Sus scrofa: one gene and its partners. The protein of the gene in region 3 binds, or shares a complex with, the protein of the main gene of each other region. Links are inferred from orthologs where the notes say so. Each region holds a gene or a part of one and is shown on either strand. Other genes may lie near its edges. The genes, in order: MED4, MED8, MED26, MED19, MED21, CCNC and MED13.

Evidence for each region.
Region 1: MED26 (region 3) and MED4 share a complex: the UniProt entries of both Homo sapiens proteins name them as parts of the mediator complex. The link is inferred for Sus scrofa from reciprocal best matches to the Homo sapiens genes MED26 and MED4.
Region 2: MED26 (region 3) and MED8 share a complex: the UniProt entries of both Homo sapiens proteins name them as parts of the mediator complex. The link is inferred for Sus scrofa from reciprocal best matches to the Homo sapiens genes MED26 and MED8.
Region 4: MED26 (region 3) and MED19 share a complex: the UniProt entries of both Homo sapiens proteins name them as parts of the mediator complex. The link is inferred for Sus scrofa from reciprocal best matches to the Homo sapiens genes MED26 and MED19.
Region 5: the proteins of MED26 (region 3) and MED21 are in contact, whole or in part, in a cryo-EM structure (PDB 7EMF), measured with the Homo sapiens proteins. The link is inferred for Sus scrofa from reciprocal best matches to the Homo sapiens genes MED26 and MED21. Residues at the interface, in NP_004822.2 of Homo sapiens: Ser481, Arg482, Asn483, Glu484, Ile485, Ser488, Tyr489, Ser491, Arg492, Ser495, Leu496, Ser498, Ser499, Ser500, Leu528, His529, Ser535, Pro537, Thr538, Asp539, Leu540, Pro541, Gln549, Asp551, Leu552, Ile555, Gln556, Trp560, Gly562, Val563; in NP_004255.2 of Homo sapiens: Ala2, Asp3, Arg4, Leu5, Gln7, Asp10, Ser14, Gln18, Asn21, Gly24, Val25, Gln28, Cys29, Tyr54, Leu57, Phe58, Leu61, Arg64, Thr65, Lys67, Asp68, Val71, Leu72, Asp74, Ser75, Leu76, Pro77, Ser78, Glu79, Glu80.
Region 6: MED26 (region 3) and CCNC share a complex: the UniProt entries of both Homo sapiens proteins name them as parts of the mediator complex. The link is inferred for Sus scrofa from reciprocal best matches to the Homo sapiens genes MED26 and CCNC.
Region 7: MED26 (region 3) and MED13 share a complex: the UniProt entries of both Homo sapiens proteins name them as parts of the mediator complex. The link is inferred for Sus scrofa from reciprocal best matches to the Homo sapiens genes MED26 and MED13.

The regions. Positions count from the first base shown.
Region 1 is NC_010453.5:19,564,637-19,567,415, reverse strand, and holds the end of MED4 (mediator of RNA polymerase II transcription subunit 4), read right to left. Parts: intron 1,165-2,779; coding exon 992-1,164; 3' UTR 501-991; downstream 1-500. UniProt on the Homo sapiens protein: Component of the Mediator complex, a coactivator involved in the regulated transcription of nearly all RNA polymerase II-dependent genes.
Region 2 is NC_010448.4:167,860,079-167,864,162, reverse strand, and holds the start of MED8 (mediator of RNA polymerase II transcription subunit 8), read right to left. Parts: upstream 2,801-4,084; 5' UTR 2,770-2,800; coding exon 2,692-2,769; exon of another isoform or gene 2,630-2,691; coding exon of another isoform or gene 2,624-2,629; intron 1,143-2,623; coding exon 1,024-1,142; intron 1-1,023. Other genes in the region: protein SZT2, read left to right, coding at 2,946-2,972. UniProt on the Homo sapiens protein: Component of the Mediator complex, a coactivator involved in the regulated transcription of nearly all RNA polymerase II-dependent genes.
Region 3 is NC_010444.4:61,032,706-61,036,161, reverse strand, and holds the end of MED26 (mediator of RNA polymerase II transcription subunit 26), read right to left. Parts: intron 3,275-3,456; coding exon 1,622-3,274; 3' UTR 501-1,621; downstream 1-500. UniProt on the Homo sapiens protein: Component of the Mediator complex, a coactivator involved in the regulated transcription of nearly all RNA polymerase II-dependent genes.
Region 4 is NC_010444.4:13,239,974-13,244,110, reverse strand, and holds the start of MED19 (mediator of RNA polymerase II transcription subunit 19), read right to left. Parts: upstream 2,801-4,137; 5' UTR 2,672-2,800; coding exon 2,404-2,671; intron 1-2,403. Other genes in the region: TMX2 (thioredoxin-related transmembrane protein 2), read left to right, coding at 3,076-3,264. UniProt on the Homo sapiens protein: Component of the Mediator complex, a coactivator involved in the regulated transcription of nearly all RNA polymerase II-dependent genes.
Region 5 is NC_010447.5:46,729,909-46,733,381, reverse strand, and holds the end of MED21 (mediator of RNA polymerase II transcription subunit 21), read left to right. Parts: intron 1-827; coding exon 828-942; intron 943-1,493; coding exon 1,494-1,594; intron 1,595-2,498; coding exon 2,499-2,675; 3' UTR 2,676-2,973; downstream 2,974-3,473. UniProt on the Homo sapiens protein: Component of the Mediator complex, a coactivator involved in the regulated transcription of nearly all RNA polymerase II-dependent genes.
Region 6 is NC_010443.5:66,496,955-66,500,902, forward strand, and holds the start of CCNC (cyclin-C), read right to left. Parts: upstream 2,801-3,948; 5' UTR 2,026-2,800; coding exon 1,793-2,025; intron 1-1,792. UniProt on the Homo sapiens protein: Component of the Mediator complex, a coactivator involved in regulated gene transcription of nearly all RNA polymerase II-dependent genes.
Region 7 is NC_010454.4:36,413,741-36,417,240, reverse strand, and holds part of MED13 (mediator of RNA polymerase II transcription subunit 13), read right to left. Parts: coding exon 3,411-3,500; intron 2,064-3,410; coding exon 1,872-2,063; intron 1,656-1,871; coding exon 1,432-1,655; intron 1-1,431. UniProt on the Homo sapiens protein: Component of the Mediator complex, a coactivator involved in the regulated transcription of nearly all RNA polymerase II-dependent genes.

The DNA of each region.
Region 1 (2,779 bases), on a different chromosome or scaffold from region 3:
ATGCCAGAGCAGACAGGAAAAAAAAATAATGTGTATGTGAAATATACCTGAATATGAAAGTTAAATGTGCTTAATTTATAAGATGACTCTTCATTATATAACATACGATATATATATCTCCTGTTAACTTTCCAGAGTTTTTTTTTTTTTTTGCTTTTTAGGGCTGCATGTGGAAGTTCCCAGCTATGGGTCTAATCAGAGCTGTAGCCATTGGCCTATACCACAGCAATGTCAGATCTGAGCTGCAACTGCAACCTACACCACAACTCACAACACCACCAGATGCTTAACCCACTGAATGAAGCCAGGGATCAAACCCGCAACTTCATAGTTCCTAGTTAGATTCCTTTCCACTGAGCCACAACAGGAACTCCCAGAGTATTTTTTAAAACCCAAATTCTAGGAAACATTGAGACCCAAGGGTTTTGGATGAGTGGTTATAAAGATGTACAGATAACCAGGTAAGCATGTACACAACAATTTGATTTGAGATACAGTGGTAAAATTCCAAACAAGTGTATTTATTTACAAAAAATACAGTAATTACAAACAGTACAAATTGAGGCAAGTTCTCCTGTGACAAAAGCTAACAGCCTTCACTTTCAAATGAGTTTTCTGTTACTCTGAGCTATGTTGCATTTTCAGCGATCTACTGCCTTTTGTTTACGCTTTTCATAATAACAAGAGGTCTATTAGTGATGTACATGGGTCATGTCCCTCAAATCTTATTTCCAGAACTACTATGTACAACTCCAACTAAGATGGCACTGAACTGACTAATCTTTTTATTCCAACGGTAAATTTTGTTTTTCTCTATTCCCCTAGTGGTTCAGAAACGAAACCATGATTTTTGGCTTCAAAAAGTCCACAATAATTTTTAACGATGGCACACTTTCACTACAGTATCACCTGGCTTTTAAAGGTTTGCTGCTGTTTAAGAAGCCGATTTCTATAATATTCAATTCTGTATGCTTTTTTTGTCACATTTTCTTTAATCAGAGTCACTGCTACTGCTTGAGGAGTCTGTTGACATGACCTCTACGTCATCTTCATTTTCTTTATTGTGCCCTGGAGGCTCCAACAAAAAGTCATTACTGTGATTTGGTGGTAACATATTCATTGCCATATCATTTGACTGCCACGGATACTGGGGGGCAAGAACATCTGAAGAAAAGAAAGCCCATGTGAGAACATTTCAACTCAATTTACTTCTTAGTTACTCTTTCCTTCATGCAAATAAAATGAAGTAAATTTTTAAGGCTGAAGTCTAAATACACATTTGACCAAATTAATGAAAGATCAAATATATCAAGGAAAAATGTGATGTTTTAGTAACCACAATCTGTTTATTTTTTTTTAAATCACACTTTACTATAGCCACTATTCATAGTCAACTGCCATTAATTTTCCTTTTACAAGACATTCACAATTTCCAAATATTTCATATGTCTGTATATATTTAAGCACATATAATAGGTCATATATACTACTCTCCATATATTCCCTCGTGATATAAACAGCTAATATATGTACTATACTAAAAAAGGGGCCCTGTATCTATTATTACTGCATTTGAAAAATACAGTTCTTGGAGTTCCCGTCATGGCCCAGAGAAAACGAATCTGACTAGTATCCATGAGGATACAGGTTCAATCCCTGGCCTCACTCAGTGGGTTAAGGATTCAGTGTTGCTGTGAGCTGTGGTGTAGGTCGCAGACTCAGCTCAGATCTGGTACGGCTGTGGTATAGGCCAGCAGCTACAGCTCAGATTCAACCCCTAGCCTGGGAACCTCCATATGCTGCTAAATGCTCCAAATGCAGCCCTAAAAACAGACCAAAAAAATACAGTTCTCTTTACCATCCAGTAGTTAGTGTATTGTTACTAGTCAGTAATTCTTTAAATTCTCCTTGTTCATATTGCTAGTGTGGTTTCTGCCTCCTGCCTGGATTGTGAGTGGCTTATGTCATATGATACGGTATAGTCACAATGAAAAATGTGATTCCAAGGGAAACTAATGCCCAATGAGTTCTCAGTTTACACCTTGAATAATTAACAAAAATGGTGCTTATAAAAAGCATTTTTAGTAACAGAGGGACAGCCTTACAATGAAATGTCATGCATTATCTAGAGCATTTATAACAACGTTAAAAATACAGGGGGGAGTTCCCGTCATGGCACAGTGGAAACGAATCCAACTAGGAACCATGAGGTTGCTTGTTCGTTCCCTGGCCTTGCTCAGCAGGTTAAGGATCTGGCATTGCCATAAGCTGTGGTGTAGGTCACAGACACAGCTCAGATCTGTGCGTGTGGACCAGCCGCTAGACCCCTGGGAAACTCCATATGCCACAGGTGTGGCCCTAAAAGAAATAACAAACAAAAAACGGGAATAAACGAAATATGTAAAATACTAAAAGTAATTGCTCAAAAAAGCAATTTTTTCATGGTTTTAAAAAAAACTTTAAAAATATTCTGCCAGGTCAAAAATAAAACAAGTCGCCAAAAAAAAAAAGAAAGATAGGGAACGTAAAATATAACAACAGTACAAACCTGTATGTGAAGCCTGAGGAAGGGTGAAGCTCAGTATGAGTCTCACAAAAATGACATTCTATTTAGTTACAAAAAAGTCCATAAAAAGCTTTGTTATTCACTTTGTTAATTTGAGGGTTATTCATAAGAGTGTTCACTTGGTATTCTTTAAACTGAACATACATCTTACTCTGTTTATAAAGCATGTTTCATTTTAAAAAGCTAAGTTTAGGGCTTAGTTACTGAGAAGTC
Region 2 (4,084 bases), on a different chromosome or scaffold from region 3:
GCTGAGGTTCCATCTACCTGTGGTCAACCACAGTCCAAAAATACCATATGGCAAATTCCAGAGGTAAACAGTTTATAATTTTATTTTATTTTATTTTTGTCTTTTTGCTATTTCTTTGGGCCGCTCCCGCGGCATATGGAGCTTCCCAGGCTAGGGGTCCAATCGGAGCTGTAGCCACCGGCCATCACCAGAGCCACAGCAACTCGGGATCTGAGCCGCGTCTGCAACCTACACCACAGCTCACGGCAACGCCGGATCGTTAACCCACGGAGCAAGGGCAGGGACCGAACCCACAACCTCATGGTTCCTAGTCGGATTCGTTATCCACTGCGCCACGACGGGAACTCCATTTATAATTTTAAATTGGGCACTGTTCTGAGTAGTGTGATGGATTCTGGCTTCATCCTGCTCTGTCCCAGCTGGGATGTTAATCATTGCTTTGCCCAGCCTATCTTTGCTGGTACAATACCCATCCAGTTAGTAGTATATGCAGTACAGGGTTTGATACTATCAGTTTGAGGCACCCAGTGGGGGTCTTAAAACTTATCCCCCACCAATAAAGGGGGGCTGCTGTATTTGACTGGGGTGAGAACAGCGGCAAAACAGGAACCATAGCTCCACTGTTATCACTCAAACTTCAGAAACTAGCTAAAAGCCTCCTTTCCGACCTAAATATAGGATCTACATTTTCAAAGTAGACTGGACCTAAAAGACTCAGCCACGTCCAAGGCAAGAGATCCCATATGAATACTGAAGTGGGAGGACCTCCTCCCAGAGACATCAGAGGGTGAGAATCAAAAGCTAGAAAGACCCTGAGTTGGAAAACTGGGCATTTCTCTGCTTCCTTACCAGGGAGGCCCAAAGCCAACTTCAGTGTTACACGTTGGGAAACTCAGCTCTTTTTAAATCAAAAGATGTTTGCAAACTGATAAATGTTTACATCACTGGCAATGTCCTATCCACCTGGTGACCTGGCCCCCCCCACCCATGGAGCCCTCCCCAGCTTGCCCTGGCATTGCTTACCAGGTCAGCCGGTCATACTCGTTCTCCAACTTGTAAATGAAACTCCCCAGTGAGTTCTTCAGATCAGCCACTTGACTCAGGAGTGCATCTAATGATGCCTCAAGCTGCTTCTCCTCCCTCTGCACCAACAGGAATAGGATGTTACTCAGATGAGGGTGAGGGTGGTGCCCACAGAGGCGGGCTGAAAAGCCAGGATGACAGTGCGCAACACCAGTCATGTGACACAGGATCTCACTGGCACAGGGAGAGCCAGGCTGTTTTCTATCTTTGGTATCAGGGTTATAGACAGCACCAACCCTCAGACCTTTCAACCCACTCGCCTGGCCTAATTCCTCCTACCTGCTGGTTCCTTTCTCTCATCACCCCTAATCCGTGCTTGGTTTCCTATCACATACACTATACTCTCACTCACTGAGCAGACACAGCAGACCTAATGCCTCGGGGTCATTATCTCTTGTGCCACTCTGCAGCATAGGTACTCTGACTTCTGCTGTCCTAAACCTGCCTTGGGAGCCTGGCTGTTCCTGCCAATGACACAATTTCTGAAAAATCTACCTACATGTGAAGGTTCCTTTGAACACCTGCCACTGCCACCACCACGGCCATTTCCCCCTTTCCTCTGTCCTCAGCATTTGCTGTTTCAAGCTCTTTGCTGAATTAACCGGCACTCTTTTTTTTTTTTTTTTTTTTTTTTGGTCTTTTTGCCTTTTCTAGGGCTGCTCCTGTGGCATATGGAGGTTCCCAGGCTAGGGGTCTAATAGGAGCTGTAGCCACTGGCCTGCGCCAGAGCCACAGCAACGCCAGATCCGAGACTCATCTGCAACCTACACCACAGCTCATGGCAACGCCGGATCCTTAACCCACTGAGCGAGGCCAGGAATCGAACTCGCAATCTCATGGTTCCTAGTTGGATTCGTTAACCACTGAGCCACGACAGGAACTCCATTAACCTGCACTCATTTTATCTCTGTGCCAAAATTCCTGTGCCCCTTTCACAAGCTTAGTCAAGCTATAAAAATTTACTGACAGACTACCAGGTGCAAGAAACTGACAAATGAAAAACAAAAACAAAAATGCACATGCCCCTAAGTACTAAACTATTTTAAATGCTGGTGAGGGGTTGTCTGCCAAGCATTTCCTGTCCATCTTGGTTCTTCATCTTTACTTCATTTCATCCTTAACTACCACAGGGCACAGGCTAGGAAGGAGGTAGAACTGCCTTGCGAACTCGCCAATATACAAGACAGTAGCCTTGATTCCGGGTTCCAGCCACTGGCCTCAGACTATATTAGTTTGGCTTTTGTCACTGCGGCCCCACAATTCCTTCCACTCTCGGGCTTCTCTCCAGTTATCGATCCTCTGCTGTGTCGGCAGCCAACAGCGGCCATTCAACAGCCCGGGCCGGGACCTGAGCCAATGCGGCACCTTCTTGAGCTGTCTTCGTTGGACTGCATCTTAACCTTCCCAAACGACCGACCCTTTCCCACCCCCAGCAAGTCGGTGCCGCCTTCCCCCTCCCAACTCAGGGGCCGTCTCGGTCTCCCAGCCGGGCTCCACCCCCATCTGTCATCAGTGCCGCTCCCTCTCCAGTGGGCCTCGCCTCCATCCCGCGTCCCTTTAGCCGTCGGCCGATGACTCTACCCACTCCTCTCAGCTCCAGCTCCTCACTTTCTCCAGCCCACTCTCCGTCCCGGTACCCCGACGCTGAGTAGCGGTCACGAGCGCCAACCCGGTCCTCACCTGCATCGCGGGAGCAGAGGTTGCGTCAACCACTTCCTTTTCCGGTTTCCAAGTCAGCCAATCAGAAAGTTGGGATTCGATCCTCCCATTCGTTTCCGGTTCCTTCGGGCGAGAGGCAGCCGGGTCAGGGGTCACGAGCAGAAGGGCTTCTCTGGCCCGGGCCGGCGCGGGAGGGCTGTGTGATGGCCTCGGAGCGCCCGGAGCCGGAGGTGAGGGGCGGGCGGGCGCAGCGCTGGTCCCCGAGATCCGCGGGGGAGGGGCCGGCGGCCGGGTGCGGCCGTGGCCTCCTCCGGGTCTGGGGGCGGCGGGGGTCGCCCCGAAGGCCCGGCAGTTGCATCTCCTCACCCCGCGGTCCGCACTTTCCTTGGGGGGCTGGAGGAGAAGCTCGTCGCTCTGTTCTGTTTGCTCAGATTTCATTCACGTCGCCAACTCTGGGGCCCTCGGGTTCTCCGACTTCCTAATGGTATTAACAAAGCCTTTATTTTGATTTTGCAATTTGATTTTACTTTGCTGGTGCTTCATATCTTCACGTATTAGAATGACATAATCAGCATGAATTAATTTAGTTCCAGCGCCATGATTTTGAAAGGCAGCTTCGGTTTCGTGGGGAAAATACATATATAGATTCTTTTTTGATTCGGAGTGAAACGTCGTTCACTTCGTTTGGTGCTGCCCTGTAGCCATCTCTGCAACTTCGGGCAAGGCTTGACTGTTTCCTGCTTCTTAAACACCTGTCTTAGGGTGTTTTGTGAGGATCCCATATTTTAAACCAGAAAATGCACATGAGGTATCCCTTAGTTGTTGAGGACCATGCAAGGAACTTGATCTGCATTGTGTTATTCAGACTTGTGCAAGGAAGGTGGCTGTGTCCACTTTCATTTATATGTAAGACACTGGAAAGTGAGAGACGTTAAGTACCTTACCCAAGTGCTACCCTCAGCCAGGGAGTAGCAAAGTTTTGAAGTTAGAAGATCTGGTTTGAAAAGAACATCACCAGGAAAGGTGCCCAGTATTAGAATATGATAGACGGGAAGGGTGAGAGACGTGTGAAATGAAATGACACAAAAGAGTTGTCATAACATATCGAATGCGTGCCGCGTCGTCCTGCTTTACCCCATCAGTTGATACCCTCAACCCGAAGAAGCAGACGTGATTATTTATCCCCATTTTTCAGTTGAGGAGACGGAGGCACAAAATGTTAAGGGTAACAAAGTTACACAGCTAGTTAAGTAGCGGAGCTAAGACTCCCAAACAGGTGGTCTGCTGTAGTATGGTGGTCATAATGTTTCCAGTATAAGCAGTACAGTTGCCACAGGATGGT
Region 3 (3,456 bases):
AGGGAAAAAAAATTTTTTTTGTTTAAGTCAACCCCATCCAGATACTAAGATAGCCCTAGGCCTGCATGGGAAGCTAGCAGCCTGGAGCCAGGGCCCAGCCTGGAGCCTGGAGCCAGACAAGAGTTTTGAACCATGTGGTATAAGAACTACAAATATTTTAGGGGATAGGACAAGGTCACTGAAACTTGAATTGCAGAGCCTGCTGGGGGGGGGGCTTCTCTGTCTGAGAAAGGTGAGGTATAGATGGAGACAGATGTGGCCCTTCAGTTTGTCACCCAAAGCTAAGAGGTGACCTGATGTGGGAGAAGCATCGTGGCCCTGAAAGCATGAAAGGCAAGGTAGGGGTCAGTCTCCAGGTGGAAAGCTAACAGGCTGACTTGGCAACTTTGCCCTGCCCTCCTCCCCACAGTCTGGCTACTCAGGGTCCATGTCTACTTGGCTAATCCAGAAAGGACTATAATGGCTATAAAGGACCAAATTAAAAACAATTCTCAGACTGGTTTGTGCAAATGTTTTTTTTTTTTTCTTTTATTTCCACATTTATATCACAAGGTGTCCACTTACTGGACCAAATAGCAAAGTTGCTCCCTTCTGCATCCTGAGAACACAGAAGTCTAGGTACTGTACATTCACTAAGGCTCCTTGTTTTTGCAAATCGCGTTTATGACAAATAACCATAAGGCAAACGAATCTAAAGGAATGGTTATGAGTGTTTCCAGCGTACAGACAGGTCTCCTCTCACCCAACAGTACAGCTTACACACCAGTAGCACCCGCGGTTACTTTTGTGGGTTTTTTTTTTTGTTTTTTTTTTTTGTTTGTTTTTTTTGGGGAGGAAGGGACTCTAGGAAGGTGAACTTTTCTAGATTTGTGCAGGAAGGGGAAAACGAAGAGGGAGGAACAAAGTAAAGTTACTCATCTGGTGGTGAGATGGAAAAGGGGGATAAAATAAACTCTAGAAAACTTAAATTTTGCAGCATTTCTTTAAAAACTGGGTTTTAACTGAAACGAGATACAAATGTGTGGATGCCCATGGAGTGTGGGTCAAACTGCTGGCCAGTTGGCCTGACTGATGCCAGCAGCTTGCTATAGCTGAGAAGCTTCTGGCACCACGATGGAAAAGCTGGCCAGGTGGGGTGCAAACAGAGGCTGCAGTGTTGCCCACTGCCTCACTCAGGGCCACATTAAAAAACAGAAAATGCAAAGAGATGAGATGCGTGCTTCTGTTGCTGTGTTAAAGGTAACCTCTTCCACAGGTTTTCTCTGCCTGCCTGCAACTGAGGTCCCAGCTCATGGGGGCTGGGCAGCGTCCACACCTCTTCTGAGGTGGGGAACTAACGCTTTTTATAGCTGGTTTGCTATAGAGTTCTGAACTCACTTTGCTGGCCTTCCTTCCACACGGTCCTTCCTTTGCAATTTTGTTAGTAAACTGGTAGCAGCATTTCACAAAAGAAGGAGAATTTTGAGGGAAGAGCACGGAGAGACCTAGAGACTCTCGCCCCCTCCCTCCCGCCCCAGGCCGGACTCCCTGGATTCCCAACCACTGGAGGTGGCAGGGTCCTGGCGCCCCACCCTCCACGGCTAACTGCAAGGTGGGAATGCACTTAGAGCCCGCGGGACGGTCAGTCCAAGCAGACATAAGGCAGAATGTTCAACCGCCCGTCGTCGCCGTGCGGGTCGAGCGATATGCACTGCGTCCAGTCATACCAGTTACCCTGTGTGTCCTGACACCCATTCACCCCTGGCCACTGGTGGGCCTGGATTCTGTCCAGATCGTCCTGTGTGACCTCTCGGCTCAGCCCAGGGAGGTCCGTGGGTGGGCCGTGAGGCACCAGCACGTGTGGCTTCCGGGCCCCACGCCGAGTGCTCTCCTCCTGCTTCAGGTACTCGGACATGAAGTGGTGAGCCCCTGGGGTCTGCGCACCCGATGATGAGAGCAGGCTGCTCTGCCGGCTCAGGTACGATTGGATGATCTCGTTGCGCGACAGCTCCTTCCAGTTCGTCTGTTCAAAAGGGCTCTGGAGGTTGGCCTTGGCCTCGGGTTTGTCCAGCTCTGTCCTGGGCTGCTCTGTGTGCACAGGGCTGTCGGCCCGCACTGGCTCTTTCTGGGTCAGAGGTTTGATCTGTCTTGTCATGGGGTCAAAGGTGAGCTTCCGCTCTTTTAACCGGACAGGTTTGACGCCCGCCTCGGCCACTTGCCCGTCCAAATTAACCGTGTAGTCACGAGGCCGGTACCTCTTCTTCTTTTTGCTGTCCGAGCCACCGGAGGAGGCAGCATCGCTGTCTGCCTTGGAGGAGTCTGGGGAGAAGCCTGCCCGGGGCAGGAGAGGCTCGGCTGGGGGCAGCCCTGCCTTGCAGCCTGGCCCTGAGAGCCGCTGGTGGCCCTCAGGCTGTTCTAGCCAGCGCACCGGGCTCTCTGCACTGGGCAGCAGCTCCAGTCGCCGCACAGGGGGTGTGGATGGCTGGGCCAACGGAAGCGGTGATGGCACCTGTGTGGCATCAAGCGACTGGGGCCTCTGTGAGGGACTGGGCACCGAGCCCTTGTATGTGTACGGGCTCCGTTGCCGGGCAAAGGAGCCCTCGTGCCGTGAGTTCCGGGGACTGAAAGAGCATCGAGGTGGTGCCTTGGGGTGGGGGGGGCCGGGAGTCTCGTCCACCCTGTCCAGCTGCTGCAGCAGCACAGCCTTCGTCTGCAAGCAGGGCCCGGGGGGCTTGCCTAGGCCCGGGGAGCTAGTGTGAGGCCTCACGGCGTTGATGGGGATCTTGCCGCTGTGCTTGTCATTCTCGCTGTGCTCCAAGCGGCTGCCCTCAGGGCCCGCATGCCCACTGCCGTCCAAGGAGCCAGGGAAGCTCTCAGGGCTCCCACTGATCCCGTTAGTGGGGAGGGGGGACAAGTTGGGTACCAGGGAGTCGTGGCTTGCTTTGGAGACCTTGGGAGGTGGCCCAGGGTGGCCAAGGTCACGCTGGTCTCCCCGGCGCTTGCGGCTACCCAGCCTGTCCAGCCGCTGCCCGGGCAGCCTCTGGATGTCGTTGCGGTTCTTCAGGTCGTGGATGCTCTTGGGTGGGCCAGCTGCCCCTGCCTCTGGCCGACAGTTATGGGCACCCCCATTGGCTGAGCCAGTGGCGCCTGCCAGCCCCCGCAGTGTGGCCTCATTCTGGTGCACGGGCTCGATGAGCTTCTGCCAGCTCCGCAGCAGCTTCTTGGCCCGCTTGGCAAGCTCCTCATTCTTCGTCTTCTTGCGGACATCGTTGATGAGCTTCCCAAGTCGAGTTTCCTACAGCCAGAGAGAGATGATGACACACTTATAGGACAGGGAAACCTCATGAAAAAGGGAGCTGAGTGAGAAATGACGGGGAGCACCCCATGTCTTTGAAATGACCTCACACTGGGCCCTAAACCACTGGCTTCCCAGACACAAAACCTATGAGGATTTGGAGCCTTCGTGGCATTTAAATT
Region 4 (4,137 bases), about 48 Mb from region 3:
GTGGCTCTGGCTACAGCTCCGATTGGACTCCTGGCCTGGGAACCTCCATATGCTGTGGGAGCCGCCCAAGAAATAGCAAAAAAAGACAAAAAAAAAAAAAAAAAAAAATACAAGGACCAGGCTTACTCATCTCTCTCCTCTTCTCATCATATGTCTCCTTTATACCCAGGATTTGCCCAGAACAGATATTCAAGTGATTAATGTAAATAGGTACAATCAAAATAAGTTAAGGTTAAATAAACTGCTGGTAGACATCAATCACTAACTAAAGTCAAGTCAACCTCTCTATGCTTTAGTTTTTCAGCTTTAAAAAGCAGATAACAATGCCTATTTCAAGGGGCTATTGTAAGTATTAAACACTAAAACATATCTAACTGCACTGTGAATTTCAAGGTCTGTAACAAATCATTTCCCTCAGATATTTTTGGGCCATACCCATGGTACAAGGAAGTTCTAAGGCCAGGAATCGAATCCAAGCCGAAGCTGCAACCTATTGCTACAGCTGTGGCAATGCCAGATCCTTAACTGGCTAGGCCACAGTAGGAACTCCTTCTTCAGCTCTTTTTTTTTTTTTTTTTAAATCTTTACTCTCTTAGGGCTGCATTTGTGGCATATGTAAGTTCCTAGGCTAGGGGTTGAATGGGAGCTGTAGCCACTGGCCTACAATCACAGCCACAGCAACGCCGGATCCTTAACCCATTGAGCAAGGCCAGGGATCGAACCTGTGTCCTCATGGATACCAGTCAGATTCGTTTCCTCTGAGCCGTGACAGGAACTCCCCTCCTTCAGCTCTTGATGTAGCAGTAGGACTTGGGATGAACTAAATGTCATCCTGGAGACTTAACATGTCCAAAATGACTTGATATCCATCTCCTCAAACCTGTCCTTTCCTGATCTTAGCACTACCATCCACCTAATTATTCAAGCCAAACATTTCCAAACTGCCCTCAATTCCTCTGTCCTTCAATTCTATTTTCAATCCTGCATTCCTGTCAGTTCTACCTCTAACATTTATTTGGCATCCATTTACTTCTCTCCTCTACTGCTATTTCCTAGTTCAAACTATCATCTCTTTCCTGAACTACTAAGCTGTAACTTCTGACCAATTTTCCCACTTTTCTTCTTTTTTTTTAAGGGCAGCACCCAAGGCATATGGAGGTTCCCAGGCTAAGGGTCAAATCAGAGCTACAGGTGCCGGCCTACACCAGAGCCACAGCAATGCTAGAGCTGTGCTGCGTCTGCAACCTACACCACAGCACAGGACAACACTGGATCCTTAACCCACTGAGTGAGGCTAGGGATCAAACCCACAACCTCATGCTTCCTAGTCGGATTCATTTCTGCTGTGCTATGACGGGAACTCCCCCACTTTGCTTCCTTAATAGAGCTGCTCGAATGATTGAAAATAAGCAAATAAGTTAGAAGTTAGATCACTTCAGACTCTTGTGTCAAAATGGTTCCCCCTGAACTTAAAATGTCTTATAGAGGCCTCTGCCTACTCTCCCACCTTCATCTCCTATCGCTCTTTCCCTGTTCACTTCCCCGGAGTGCAAGTGGTTTTCTGTCCCTCAAATATTCAAGGTTATTCTCACATTGGGCCTTCTAATCTCATTTTTTGTATCTAGAGTTCTCTCTCCTCCCACTCATAAATGGCTAGCTCTTCCTTTGTGCTTATATTTTAGCTCTAATGTTATCTACTCAGAAAGGGCTCTCCTGATCACTCTAGCTAAAGCAGTTCTGCCCCCTCAATTCTTTATCACATTTCCCCCTTGTAGCCATAACCACTATCTGATACTATCTGTTTATCCGCAGATATCTGTTTATCACTCTTTGACTCCTCCACTGGCAGGTAAACTCCCAAACAGGCAAGGATCTTGTCAGTTTTGTTCACAGCTGTATCTTCAGCAATTGGAAGAGTGCTTGGTACACAGAGTGGGTGCGCAACAAAATAATTTTTTGAATGAAAGAACCTGGTTTAATTCTAATCACTTCTTCGAACACATTTTGAAACCCCGAGGCCCAGAGGAAGAAAGACAACATGTCCCAAACCAACAGGAAGTTTGAAGCAGATCTGGAACTGGGTCCGCAGGGATGTTAAATCAGGACCCTCAAATACCAAACTCAAAGCTAGGATAATCTTTAGGGAGTCAAAAACCAGCGTCAGGGGCAGGATCGGGCGTGAAAGGTGGTCAGGGAGATCCACTCTCTTCCCACCCCTAATCCATCCCAATTCCAATCATTCTTTCGGTTGTGAATCCTCAGAACCTCTTCTAGTATAGTGTTCCGAAATCGCGCCACGCGTTGCCTAGGTTACCCCTCACCCCAGTCGGAAGGCTGAGAGCCACGCCCCGCCTCTCCTCGCTATGATCTGATTGGCTGGCTTTGACCAGGCCTTGTACTCACCCGGCAGTTCCCGCATTAGGTAGAAGGGGCCACAACCGGCCGCTGACTTGTCGGAGCCGGGAGCGGCTGTGGCCGCGGTAGAGGGCGGGGCGGGGCCCGGCCCCCCGCCCGGAGGAGGAGGCGGTGGGGGTGGAGGTTTTCCAGGTCCGAAGCCAAGTGCGGTCGGGGGCGGTGGTGGGTCAGCCTGAGCTCCGAACAGCGCCGTGAAATTCTCCATCGCCTCCTCCGCCCCGGCGCTGTCTCGGTGTCTGGCGTTGGTGACGTTCATTGGTCAATCTTTTCACAGAGTACCGCCCTCCTCTTTCAGGAGCCTCTCACCATTGGGTTGCCTCGGGCCCTTCCTACCTTCTTCCTGCAACTACTTCCGTCGCCTTCTGAGAACGTTCCGGAAGTACTATTTAACTTTATTTAAATTCTCCTGTATCTCCTACTTGCCGCAGTCGCATATGTCCAATAAAACGATTTAGGTGGAAAAAAAGACAGCTAGATTAGCCAATAAAATATCAAAGCCCTTTCTCCATTTTTAACCTGACGCAGAAGCCAGTCAGAGATCTGCTTCCGGATCTAGAGGCGGTGCATCCGAGACTAGGCCCAATGGAAGCACAATGATGGGAGAGGCGGGACCAGGCTCACGGACTCCGTGGAGCGGCTGGCGCCGCTAGAGCCGGGAAGATGGCGGTTCTCGCGCCTTTAATTGCTCTTATTTATTCGATACCTCGACTATCACGATGGCTGGCCCGACCTTACTACCTTCTGTCAGCCCTCCTCTCTGCTGCCTTCCTACTCGTGAGGAAGCTGCCCCCTGTCTGCTACAATCTCCCCACGCAACGCGAAGACGGCAACCCGTGTGACTTTGACTGGGTGAGCGACCCCCCGCCTTAGGACCCCGCGACCTTGACACCCTGTCCTAGGTTGCATCTACGAGATGCGAGGTTCACCTGTTTGAGAACACCTGAGGTTCCCAACCTGTAGCGGACTTAAGCTATTAAGAATCTAGAGCCTGGGCGGTCGTCGAGTGTAAACCTCTTCACGTTTAAGATGGGAATACAGCGAGTTAGCCTGCCGGGGTCTTCTGACTCCTGAGTCCAAGGTCCTTTCCGTCTCACAATTCGTACCTACCCAAACGAGGCATCTGCACTGTTTTACAGTGCTGCTCTCGTTATGTAAAGCCTCTTGAGGAATCAGTGAGGTAAACAAGGCAAGTAGTAGTAATCTCGTTTCACTGATGAAGAAATTGATCTCGGCGTAGTTAGGAGACTTGTCCAAGGTCACACAACTAGTGAGTGGCTGGGACTTGAAACCACTCTTCTGGCCAAAGCAGCAGCACCATCAGTCATTTTAATTCAGTTAACAACTGCAGAGGGAGGACTGTATGCTAGGCACTGTGCTGCATCCTGAGAATGTAAAAATGAATAAAGTTTTAGGCCTATTGAAATGGAATTGTAAAAAAAATTCATTGTAAAGAAATCAATCTGAACTCTCTTGCAGTACTTCCTAAGTAGAAGTGGAAGGACCACTCAGAAAAATAAGATGAAGTTCTGTGCCCCCTTCTGTATAGCTGAATCTGTGTTACGAGGAAGGAGGGCCTTCCTGAGTTTTTGTCTTTTTTTTTTTCCAGGTCCCAGAATGAGTCTTGACTTTTGACAGAACTTACTTCCTTACTTTTATTCTCCTTCCCTTGTTTACTTTTTCGTACTTCCGCCGTTCTTTCCCAGTGTTATTAAGTAGCTCATG
Region 5 (3,473 bases), on a different chromosome or scaffold from region 3:
GGTTTCAGTAAGGGTTTGTTATTCTTGACCTTTAGAACTTTTAGAGCACTAGAAGTTTATAGCTTGAGTCCTGGAGAAAAAAATTTTGTTTTGTTGTTTTGGTCTTTTTTATTTAGGGCTGTACCAGCAGCATACAGAAGTTCCCGGGCTAGGGGTCAAATTGGAGCTGTAGCTGCCGGCTTATACCATAGCACAGCCACAGCCACTCTAGGTCTGAGTTGCATCTGCCGCCTGCACCACAGCTCGTGGCAACACTGGATCCTTAACCCACTGAGTGAGGTCAGGGGTTGAACCTGCATACTCATGGATACTAGTCAGGTTCATTACTGCTGAGCCACAATAAGAACTCCCAAGAAAAACATTTTGGAATACTTAAGGTGTGGTCTTTCTCCCACCATTTCTTTATAGTTGTAATTACTCTGGTTTCAGAAAAGGAATCATATGCCTTGGAGTCAAATTTTAAAATTTACCCTGGGGTAAATTTTAGATATTTGCCTGTCAGATTTGCTTTTTTCTACCACTGTTGCGCTAAAAGTCTTAACTTGTGCTTGCAATCAGTATTGGCATATATTTCTGTTATCATTCTGTTATCTCGGGAAGAAAAATAATTATTTTGTGTTTCTCTTTAACTGTTGCAACTAAATAAATGCCAAAGGAAGTTTCTTTGCATGATTAAAATATTTCGTTGTTAGTAACTGGCTTAATCCAGGATTTATCATATTTTATTCTCTTGCTCAGTGATCATTATAGAAACATCATCAATGCCAATAAAATCCTGAAAGCTGATAAATCCTTTCTAATTTTGCCACATTTCTTTTGGCCTGTAGCTTGCAGATCAGTTTTGTAATGCCATTGGAGTGTTGCAGCAGTGTGGTCCTCCTGCCTCTTTCAGTAATATTCAGACAACCATTAACAAAGATCAGCCAGCTAATCCTACAGAAGGTAAATAGATTTTTTTTTTTTTTTGGCTTCTTTTAATTTGACTCTCCCTCATTGCCTTTAATCCCATAAAATTAGATTTATTGAAAAATTCATCTTATTCACGGCTTTCTAAAAATGTTATTGTTAGAGAATGTTACTACAAGTTTGTCATAAAAGAAATAAATTTTTGTTAGTTTATATAACACCTCGTAGTTCTTTTTATGTTAAATAATGGATTTTTTACTCCTTTAGAGGAGAATTATATGAATTTAGCTGAATTTTACTTCAGGGACCTTAATAAGAAAGGCATCTCATAAATTCCTTTATTCAAATGATCATCAAATTGTCCTGATACATAATGTACATTATGCTTGATTCCTAACTTGAGTTAATGTTAAAGCTGATTCTCAAACATGTAATAGGATTAATGTGTTAAAATTACACCTTAATCATTAGAAGCCTAGGACAGAAAAAGTTAAGAAGTTTTTTTGTTTCATTAACTTAAAATTTGATTGCTGTTTCTATAAACTTGAGGTTCTCAAATACCCTAAATGAGTACAATCTTTCTCTAGAATATGCCCAGCTATTTGCAGCGCTGATTGCACGAACGGCAAAAGACATTGATGTTTTGATAGATTCCTTACCCAGTGAAGAATCTACAGCTGCTTTACAGGTAAAAATCTCTTTTTCTGGAGTTCCCCGTTGTGGCTCAGAAGTAGTGAACCTAACTAGTATCCATGAGGATTCGGGTTCAGTCCTTAGCCTAACTCAGTGGGTTAAGGATCTGGCATTGTGGTGAGCTGTGTGTTGGTCGCAGATTCGGCTTGGATCCTGTGTTGCTGTGGCTGTGGTGTAGGCTGGAAGCTGCAGCTCTGATTTGACTACTAGCCTGGGAGCTTCCATATGGTTCAGATGCATTTGAATTAAAGGAGATAGCTTTAGTACCCTTTTTCCTTTTTTAAAGAAATTTTTTTTTTTTTTTAATTTTTGGCTGTGCCTATGCCATGTAAAAGTTCCCAGGCCAGGGATTAAACCTGTTCCACAGCAGTGACCTGGCCTGCTACAGTGAGATCTGTATCCCACTGTGCCACAAGAGAACCCCTTTAATTCCTTTTATTATAATATTAAAAGGTACTCTCAATTTTAAAATGGGAATTTTATTGGAAACTACTGTAGTCTATTAAAGACTGCACTGAATATGTATAGTTGTCCAATTTTGAGTTATGAGGAAACTTCCCATTTTCCTCAGTTTGATTCTTTTCCTTGGAAAGAGTGAGAGGAAGGTAGCATTCCGGACGTGGAATAGAGCATAGTGTCTAAAAGCAGTGTGGAAAGGAGTCTCCTATAGCAATCTAGAGAGCTCTCATTGAAAAGTCATCTTTTAAATAGTTCATACAGGGAAAATTCTCAAGTTATATCTGATCTGAGGATTTATGCCACTGAAAAATCTATCACAGTGGTTGCACAGTCATCCAGATTTAGAAGTAGGTACTTCCACTGCAGTTTATTTCCTTAGAAGGAAATAATCTCCAAGTTTTTCATTTGTCAAAAGATTCTTAAATTTATGTCTTATAAAGGCTGCCAGCTTGTATAAGCTAGAAGAAGAAAATCATGAAGCTGCTACATGTCTGGAGGATGTTGTTTATCGAGGGGATATGCTTCTGGAAAAGATACAGAGTGCCCTTGCTGATATTGCGCAGTCACAGCTGAAGACAAGAAGTGGTACCCACAGCCAGTCTCTTCCAGACTCATAGCACCAGTGTACATATCATGTGGCCAAGAAGAGAACTATTTCAGTGCCGTTAAGAATTCTACATCAGATTTAGATGTAAGCCTTATCGATAGTTAGAGAAACATTAAGCACTATGACACGTTATCTTTTTAGCTATTTTTAATAGTCTTCTATTTTCATTTTTAATAAATAAGCTTGTAAAATTGTGATTGAACCAGCTTTAAACTGTCATTATGCTATTATTTTGTATTTTGAGTGAAATTATTGAGGCAGATATTGCACTTACAGTCAGAATATAATTAAACAGATGTACTATAGAATTCTATTGTGACATAATTTGTCTTTATTTTTGTCCTGTTTCTACAGCCTGTACAAGTGAAAACATCCCCCAAGCTAGAGAAGAAGATGGTAAATGCAGAAATGGTGGATATTTGAATTTAGGTTGATATCCTTCTGCCTCTTTAAAAGTGACATTGTAGAGTTCTGGTGCAGTGGATCGGGGATCTAGTGTTGTCACTGCAGTGGCTTGTGTCACTGCTGTGGCAAGGGTTCAGTCCCTGGCCCTGGAACTTCTGCATGCCACGGGCACAGCCAAAAAGAAAAAAATAAAATAAAGGTGACATTGTATAAATTTGGAGCTGGAGCAAGGAATGGTTCTGAAAACCACATTGCTTTTTAAGAAGCAGAGAGTGTGGCCAGATGAAAGATTAAGTCACTTTTGTGGAAGCTTTTTCTTCTTTTTCTTTCTTTCTTTTTTTTTTTTTTTTTTTTTGGTCTTTTTGCCATTTCTTGGGCTGCTCCTGCGGCATATGGAGGTTCC
Region 6 (3,948 bases), on a different chromosome or scaffold from region 3:
AATTTCTTCTTTGATATAATAAAGTATCCAGAGTTGGTTTTGTAGTTTTAATTTTTATTACTTGTTCATTACTTCATTCAGTCAACCAGCAAATATTTAGTGTCCTTCTAGTTTTACCACATCATGGTCAAAGAAGGTGTTATGTTCTACCTTAACTTTCCAGAAAATACTTTGATTTGTTCTGTTTCAGAATTATCATTAATTTCTTTTCCACAGTCATTATATATTTTTAAACAGATAAGTATCACAGGCAAATATTTTAAAGTTTTTCCTCACAGCATGCAGTATGGAAGATAAACCAAGAAACATCACATATCATCAAATTTGATATTATGCTAATTGTAAGATTTCACTATTATTTCATGTGCTACTAAGAAAAAAATTGTTATGCTGATTGCAAAAATATTAAAATGGGTAATTTGAAGCCATGAAAAATAGTGTATATCATGTCAATTTTCCTCCCTCACCAAAATCAACAACAATATCAACAATAGCTTTCATATCTCTTTGTTCTTCCTGAACTGGTTGTTTTGTCCTTTACACTTGTTATCTTTTGCAGATCAGGGATCCCGGATTTTCAAGGGTTTGAGTCCTCCAGGACTAATGGAACTGGCAGGCAAAAACAGTTTCAAAAAAGCACATTTAATATTATAATAATGTTATATTTGAAAGGTGAAAATACAATTGGTTTTATAAAATGGATCTTGGCACCCTTTTGATAGACCAACAGCGAATGAAAACAGAGTGAGAATGCTTATCAAAAGGAGGTAGGATCTTTTTTTTTAAGGTCTGTGAACTTCTGATAATCAACAGCTAGTGACCTGTCAATTCTCTCAGTTTTTTTCAAAGCTTATCAGAACGCCTCTTCCTCACTATCTAAATTTTCCGTATTTTAATTTTGTCCAAATTATTTCAGTGAGTGAAAACAGTGCAAAATAAAAATGTGATCAGAAATAAAGCTTCTTTCTATACCATCTCATCTTCACGTAATCACTTTATAGGAAGAAAGCCTGCTTTTCTGAAAATAGATATCAAAGCCCATTGTTTCTTTTTTCTAGGTCAAACGGCTAAAAGACGGAAGGAACAACATAGAAATCCATCTTCTTCAAACTTAAAATTTAGTTACTAATGCTCTCCTGGCATTAAAAATTATTTGCACCATATCATCTTTATCAGATCTGTTCATTTTTCAACTACACAATGCAAAGTCTAGCCAATGTTCAATTAATCCCATCATCCTCTTTCGTACATGCTTAAAAAAACTTATTTAGGGAGAACTGTTTTCAATATTACTCTAATTCTTCCATGGTACTGACAGACACAAAAACTCACGAAAAAAAGGTTAAAGATATTGGCAAAGTCACTGGAAAATACACTTATTAAACAGAACATGAGGCGCAAATAAGTTCTGAGAGCATTTGCCCTATACCTTACAAACATAAAACTCCACCTAGGCTTAAGGTAGTGGCAGGAAGCGGTTAGTGAGCAGAATGACAAAAGATTACGATGCCAATCCACTGAAGAGATACCAGGCAAAAGGGAACAACAGTCCTCAAGAGCCAGTCTCATAGTTCCGAACTGTGCCACACTTGCAAAACCTTTGCCTACCCCATCCCAACTGCCGCCGGCCTGGTTCCTCCACCCACACCCCCTCCACCCCGCCTCCGCCGAGCTAATCCAAGAATCCGAAATTAAACTCTCGAACCTTCTTTCTCCGGAGACAGGACCCCCCCCCCCCCCGCGAAACCCGGCCAGGGGGCGGAATGAGGAGAGTCGCCAGAGAAAAGCGCACCTCGCTTCCGGCTGCCGCCACCTCCCGGGAGACTCCACCGAACTTGGGACAGGGATCCAGGCCAAGGAGAGTCGCAGGCCCGGTCCACACCGCCCCCCAACAAGAGCCCGCCCTGGACGAGAAGACGTAAGATCACTTACTAATGGGAGCTCTGCCAAAAGTTCCCTGCCATGGAACACAGCTTGCCCTGATAAAAAAGCACCAGCCGGTGGAGCGGCCCACAGAGCGACCATAGACCCAGCCCAACCGGTAACCGCGCTCCTCGATCTAATCTGCTGGGCTCGCTCCGCGGCGGCGACGGTGAGAGGAAGAGGATGGCACCCTATTCTCTTTGCCGCCGGCCGGCAACACTCTACTTTGTAAACCCGTTCCTATGGATAAAGGTTCCGGCCTGCCCCGCGACAGTGGAAGAGGCTGGCGGGAAGGAGACAGTCTTTGGGCGCGCTGAGATAGGCGACGGTAACTGGAAGGCTCGCGGCTCGCGGCGGTCGGGAGCCTCTCGCGAGAGTTTCGCGCCGGTTCCGGCTTAGAATCAGTGGGTTCCGGCCTAGAACTCGGGCGGCTCGGTATTCTGCAGTCGCTGCTCTTTGCGGGAAGGGCATGGAAAAGGGGAAGACGCTGCTCCCCACCCCAGTTCGGAGCAGACTTCCAAAGCAGTGCGGTGGCTTTGTAGTGAAGTATAAGATTTCCTGACTTCAGTTCCTTTTCTTGCTTTTGGCAAGAGAAAGATTATTGTAGCCTCAAGGACCTACCAAAACCGAGCTGCACCAAGCCAGATATGTAGTTAATGGAGTTCTTTTGGAGGGAAGCACAAACTTTTAGAGCAGCAGTACGTTTTTTTTTTAATGCCAGAGACTGACAGCTTTGTGTGTTTGTGTGTGTACCAAATAGAAACATACAACCAAAACAATCATTTAATTTTACGCAATTTCTTTTATCTTTGTAACATTGCATTTATTGTAAAGCTGCTAATTGAATCATTGGACACACACGAATAAAGTTTTTCACGGATGATCAGTGTTCCGAGGAAGCTCAAGACAGTATTTTTCACACAGTTAGGTTGTGGTGAAATTGAATATGATATGCATTTTCCTAGATAAAAATATCAGGTATATCAGAAATATCAAGGGCATTTATAATTTTTGATTCAGTTACATATGTATATGTGTACTTGGTCAGGATGTGAAATGAAATATATATATATATATATATATATATATATATATATATATATTTTTTTTTTTTTTTTAGGGCTGCACCCCAGGCGTATAGAGGTTCCCAGGCCAGGGGTGGAATGGGAGCTGTAGCTGCGGGCCTCAGCCATAGCCACAGAAATGCTAGGTCTGAGCCACATCTGCGACCTACACCGCAGCTCATAGCAATGCTGGATACTTATCCCACTGAGTGAGGCCAGGGATTGAACCAGAATCCTCACAGATACTAGTCGGGTTCATTATGGGAACTCCTGAAATGAATTTTAGTAGCTTAGTATTTTATGTCGCACTTCATTCCCATAAAGTGATGTAGGTTAGAAAGCACCCATTAAAAAAAAAGAAGAAGAAGAAAGCACCCATTAGTGGATGTCCTCCGATCTTGAAGGATCTAGCATATTTCCATCTTTCAACTTCAGTGGATCTTTAAGCAAGGGGGCTTTGAATTACAAGGGTCTTCTACAGGTGAATCTTACAAAAAATAAATATGGGAGTTCCCGTTGTGGCTCAGTGGGTTACCGACGAACCAGACTAGTATCCATGAGGATGCAAGTTTGATCCCTGGCCTTGCTCAGTTGGTTAAGGATCCAGCGTTGCTGTGAGCTGTGGTGTAGGCGCAGATGCAGCTCAGAGCTAGCATTGCTGTGGCTGTGGCATGGGCCAGCAGCTGCAGCTCTGATTTGACCCCAGCCTGGGAACTTCCATATGCCATGGATGCAGCCCTAAAAAAAGACCAAAAAAAAAAAAAAAAAAAGTTTAAAACATGGGAACTGAAGAAATACCAGCCCTTATGCTACTTAACAACAGAGGTTCAGAATTTCTTCAACTCCCTAAGGTGTTTTTTGTTTGTTTGTTTGGTCATCCTAATATCTTTCAGAAATACTGTAACAAATTTGCATTGTTAGATGTTTTTTTCTGTGTGCCCGTATTACACTTTGTTTCTAC
Region 7 (3,500 bases), on a different chromosome or scaffold from region 3:
CGTTAACCACTGCGCCACAACGGGAACTCTGAGAGCTGTATGTCTTAACCATCATCTCATTCCTACTTTCAGTAAAACAGCAATTTGTCTTGTATTAGAAAGGTGGTATTATTCTTTTTCAATTCTTTCTCATCCTTCACAGATAAGCTTATTACTCTCTCCAGAGCTCACTTAATTAGCACAACTATCCCATTTTTTAAAAAATCAAAACTATATCAAGGAAATAAGGTATGAAATACTGCCTTAAGGTTTCTAAGATAGTCAATAAATCTTTATAACCAGTAACATAAAATCAATGTTTCTATACTGTTTCTTCAGCACCACTATAATCTAATATAATCATTAAATATTTTTGCATATAACCAACTTCTAAACTTAAAAAAACAGAACATCATATAATGAAGAAAATAAAGACTAGAACCAAATCTGAAAATTAAAAGTTACTTCATGGACTTTCCAAGTTCCCTTAGGCAGTGTTTGTTAGCCTTGAAATATGTTGTTAGAAGTGTCTACCAAGTGACAACTTAATATAAGGCTCACCTGTTGTGAACTATCAGTTACAGCCTTCATGAATAACTGGTCATATCTAACTACTATCAAGAAGAATTCTACACCAAGTTCTGGTAAAGATATTGGCTAACAGCATCTGTCATTCATTGCTGATAGGAATGCAAAGTGGTTCAGCCAATTTGGAAGACAATTTGGCAGTTTTTTAAAAATTAGTCATGCACTTCCCATAGGATATAACAATTTCTCTGTTATCACACAAGACAAATAAAAACATGTCTACAGACACACACAAAAAAGAATTCTACATGGACTTCTCTTACAGTGCAGTGGGTTATGGACCTAGCGTTGTCACTGCAGTGCCTTAGGTCACTGCTATGGCTCAGGTTAGATCCGTGGCCAAGGAACTTCCACATGCCGTGAGTGTGGCCAAAAAAAAAAAAAAAAGAATTCTACAAAGAAGGCCACTATTTTCAGAATATACTCCAACATTTTAGTGAAGCAAGACATTCTGTTCATTAGGGACTATATTTTTGATGGTATATAAGAAAGCAAATATTTGAAAATACTTTACTAGATTTTAATTTGCAGAGGACTTTATAGTTTCATGTTTCAAAATTTGTTAGGCTAAAATCATTACCTCAAGGTTTATAGCATAGAATTTAGGGACTTTAATCTTTTTTTGTCTACATAATAGAAATTAATCAAATTATTATTATAATTTTTTTTCATTGCACCCGTGGCATATGGAAGTTCCTGGGTCAGGGACTGAACCTGTGCAACAGCAGTGACCCAAGCCGCTACAGTGACAACGCCAGATCCTTAAACCCACTGTGCCACAAGAGAACACCATAAGCCATTTTCTATTCTTTAAAAATGAATTTTTTTACATTTTAAATGATACATATAAGGAAATAAAAGTACCTATTTGGGACATCAATGTTAATAATACAAGTTTCTAAAAGTTCTCCATATAGATCTGTGCAAGATGCAAGAATCCATCTTTGATCATGTGACAAACAGTAGCCCACAAAAAGTACATTATATTTCTGTCCAGCTTCTCCAAATGTTTCTCCTAGTTCTGTCTGTTTATCTTTCACTGGAGCCAGAATAAAAGGAGGTGTATAAAGTCGAATACACTCTGGTCTCTGTAAAATAAAAAATTAAGTTACTATGGCACTATATAATCATAGAAAAAAATTTTATTGAAGATACACACACACACACAAACACAAACACAGAGAGAGAGTGTGTGTGTGTAAGATAACTGAAAAATGAGAGCTAAACAGAGACCTGCATTTAGTTTGGCATAAAAACATAAAATGTAGTCATTCAATAACTTTGGTCATGGAAAACATACTTACATCAGGACTTTTAAGAGCAGTTTCCATGGCTAAACCTGGACCAAAACCAGTCAATGTTTTCACATTGGTTGATGTTGGAAGTGGTCTCCGACACTGAGTAAAGGCCGAAAAAGCTAGGGATTTTAAATGCTGGGTATAGATTTGTCTATCTTCATGCTTCACAGGTTGCAACAGGTACTGACAAGGAACAATCTGAAGAGTTATAAACAAATATTACAAATGTTAAGCTTTCAACAAGAGAATTAAAAGAACTATATGTCTAAAACTCTAACACTTTTAGTATGAAATTTAAACTAGGGAGTTCCCGTTGTGGTGCAGCAGAAACAAATCTGACTAGTATCCATGAAGATGCGGGTTCAATTTCTGGCTTTGCTCAGTGGGTCGGGGATCCGGCATTGCTGTGAGCTGTGGTGTAGGCTGCAACATGGCTTGGATCTGGCATTGCTGTGGCTGTGTGTGGTGTAGGCCAGCAGCTCTAGCTGTAGCTCCGATTCAACCCCTATCCTAAGAGCTTCCATATGCCTCAGGTGCAGCCCTAAAAGGCAAAAAAAAAGAAAAAAGAAAAGAAATTTAAACTAAATTTAGGATGATAATCTAATGAATTATATTTTCTTATCTATTATATAGATATTGTTTGTTTTTTAGGGTCACACCTGCGGCATATGGACATTCCCAGGTTAGGGGTCGAATCAGAGCTGCAGCTGCCAGCCTATGCCACAGCCACAGCAATGCCAAATCTAAGCTATATCTGCAACATATACCACAGCTCACAGCAATACTGAATCCTTAACCCATTGAGAGGGGCCAGGGATTAAACCTGTGTCCTCATGAATACTAGTCAGGTTTGTTACTGCTGAACCACAATGGGAACTCCTATGATATAGATTTTTAATAAACAGTCAACTTTACTAATGGAATATATAAAAATCTTTAAAACATTTCTACATAGTAGTTATACTGTTTAATACTGCCATTGACTAGTACTATTATGGTCTATAAGAAAAATTCAAATTCTCTGCAAACAATATGGCTAATTTCTCTCTACTTTTCCTGCAAACTATCTTATCTAGTACCCTAGCTTGTGAGTCCCTTTTTTTAAATTTAATTTTCTATTTATTTTGGCCATGCCCCTGTGGCATGTGGAATTTCCCTCGCCAGAGATCAAACTTATGCCACAGCAGCAACACAAGCTGCTGCAGTGACAATGCCAGATCCTTACCCAGAGTCACAAGAGAACTCCATGTCTGTTCTTAATTTTCCTAATTAAGCTTATGAATTTAAAAATTAGTTTAAAAAAGTAACACGGAGAAACATACAATGTACTCAAAGCAATCTTTTTGTTCTCTATTATTACTGCGGTATGATCACAAGGTTCTTTTATAAACTCTTTAAGATTTCTGTATTATAGTATCACTTAAAGTAAAAATCAATAGAACCTAACTTTTACAAAATCAATATGGATACAGAATAGTAGCTTTGAAATTTCTGTCAACATTAAAATGTTTTATATAAATTTAACTTAACATTTATCATTCTTACCTGTACAGAAACAGTACTCTTAATATGAGGAGGAAGAGTCTGGACCATTTCCAGAAAGCATCGAAGTAACCCCAAAGTCCACACATTGGA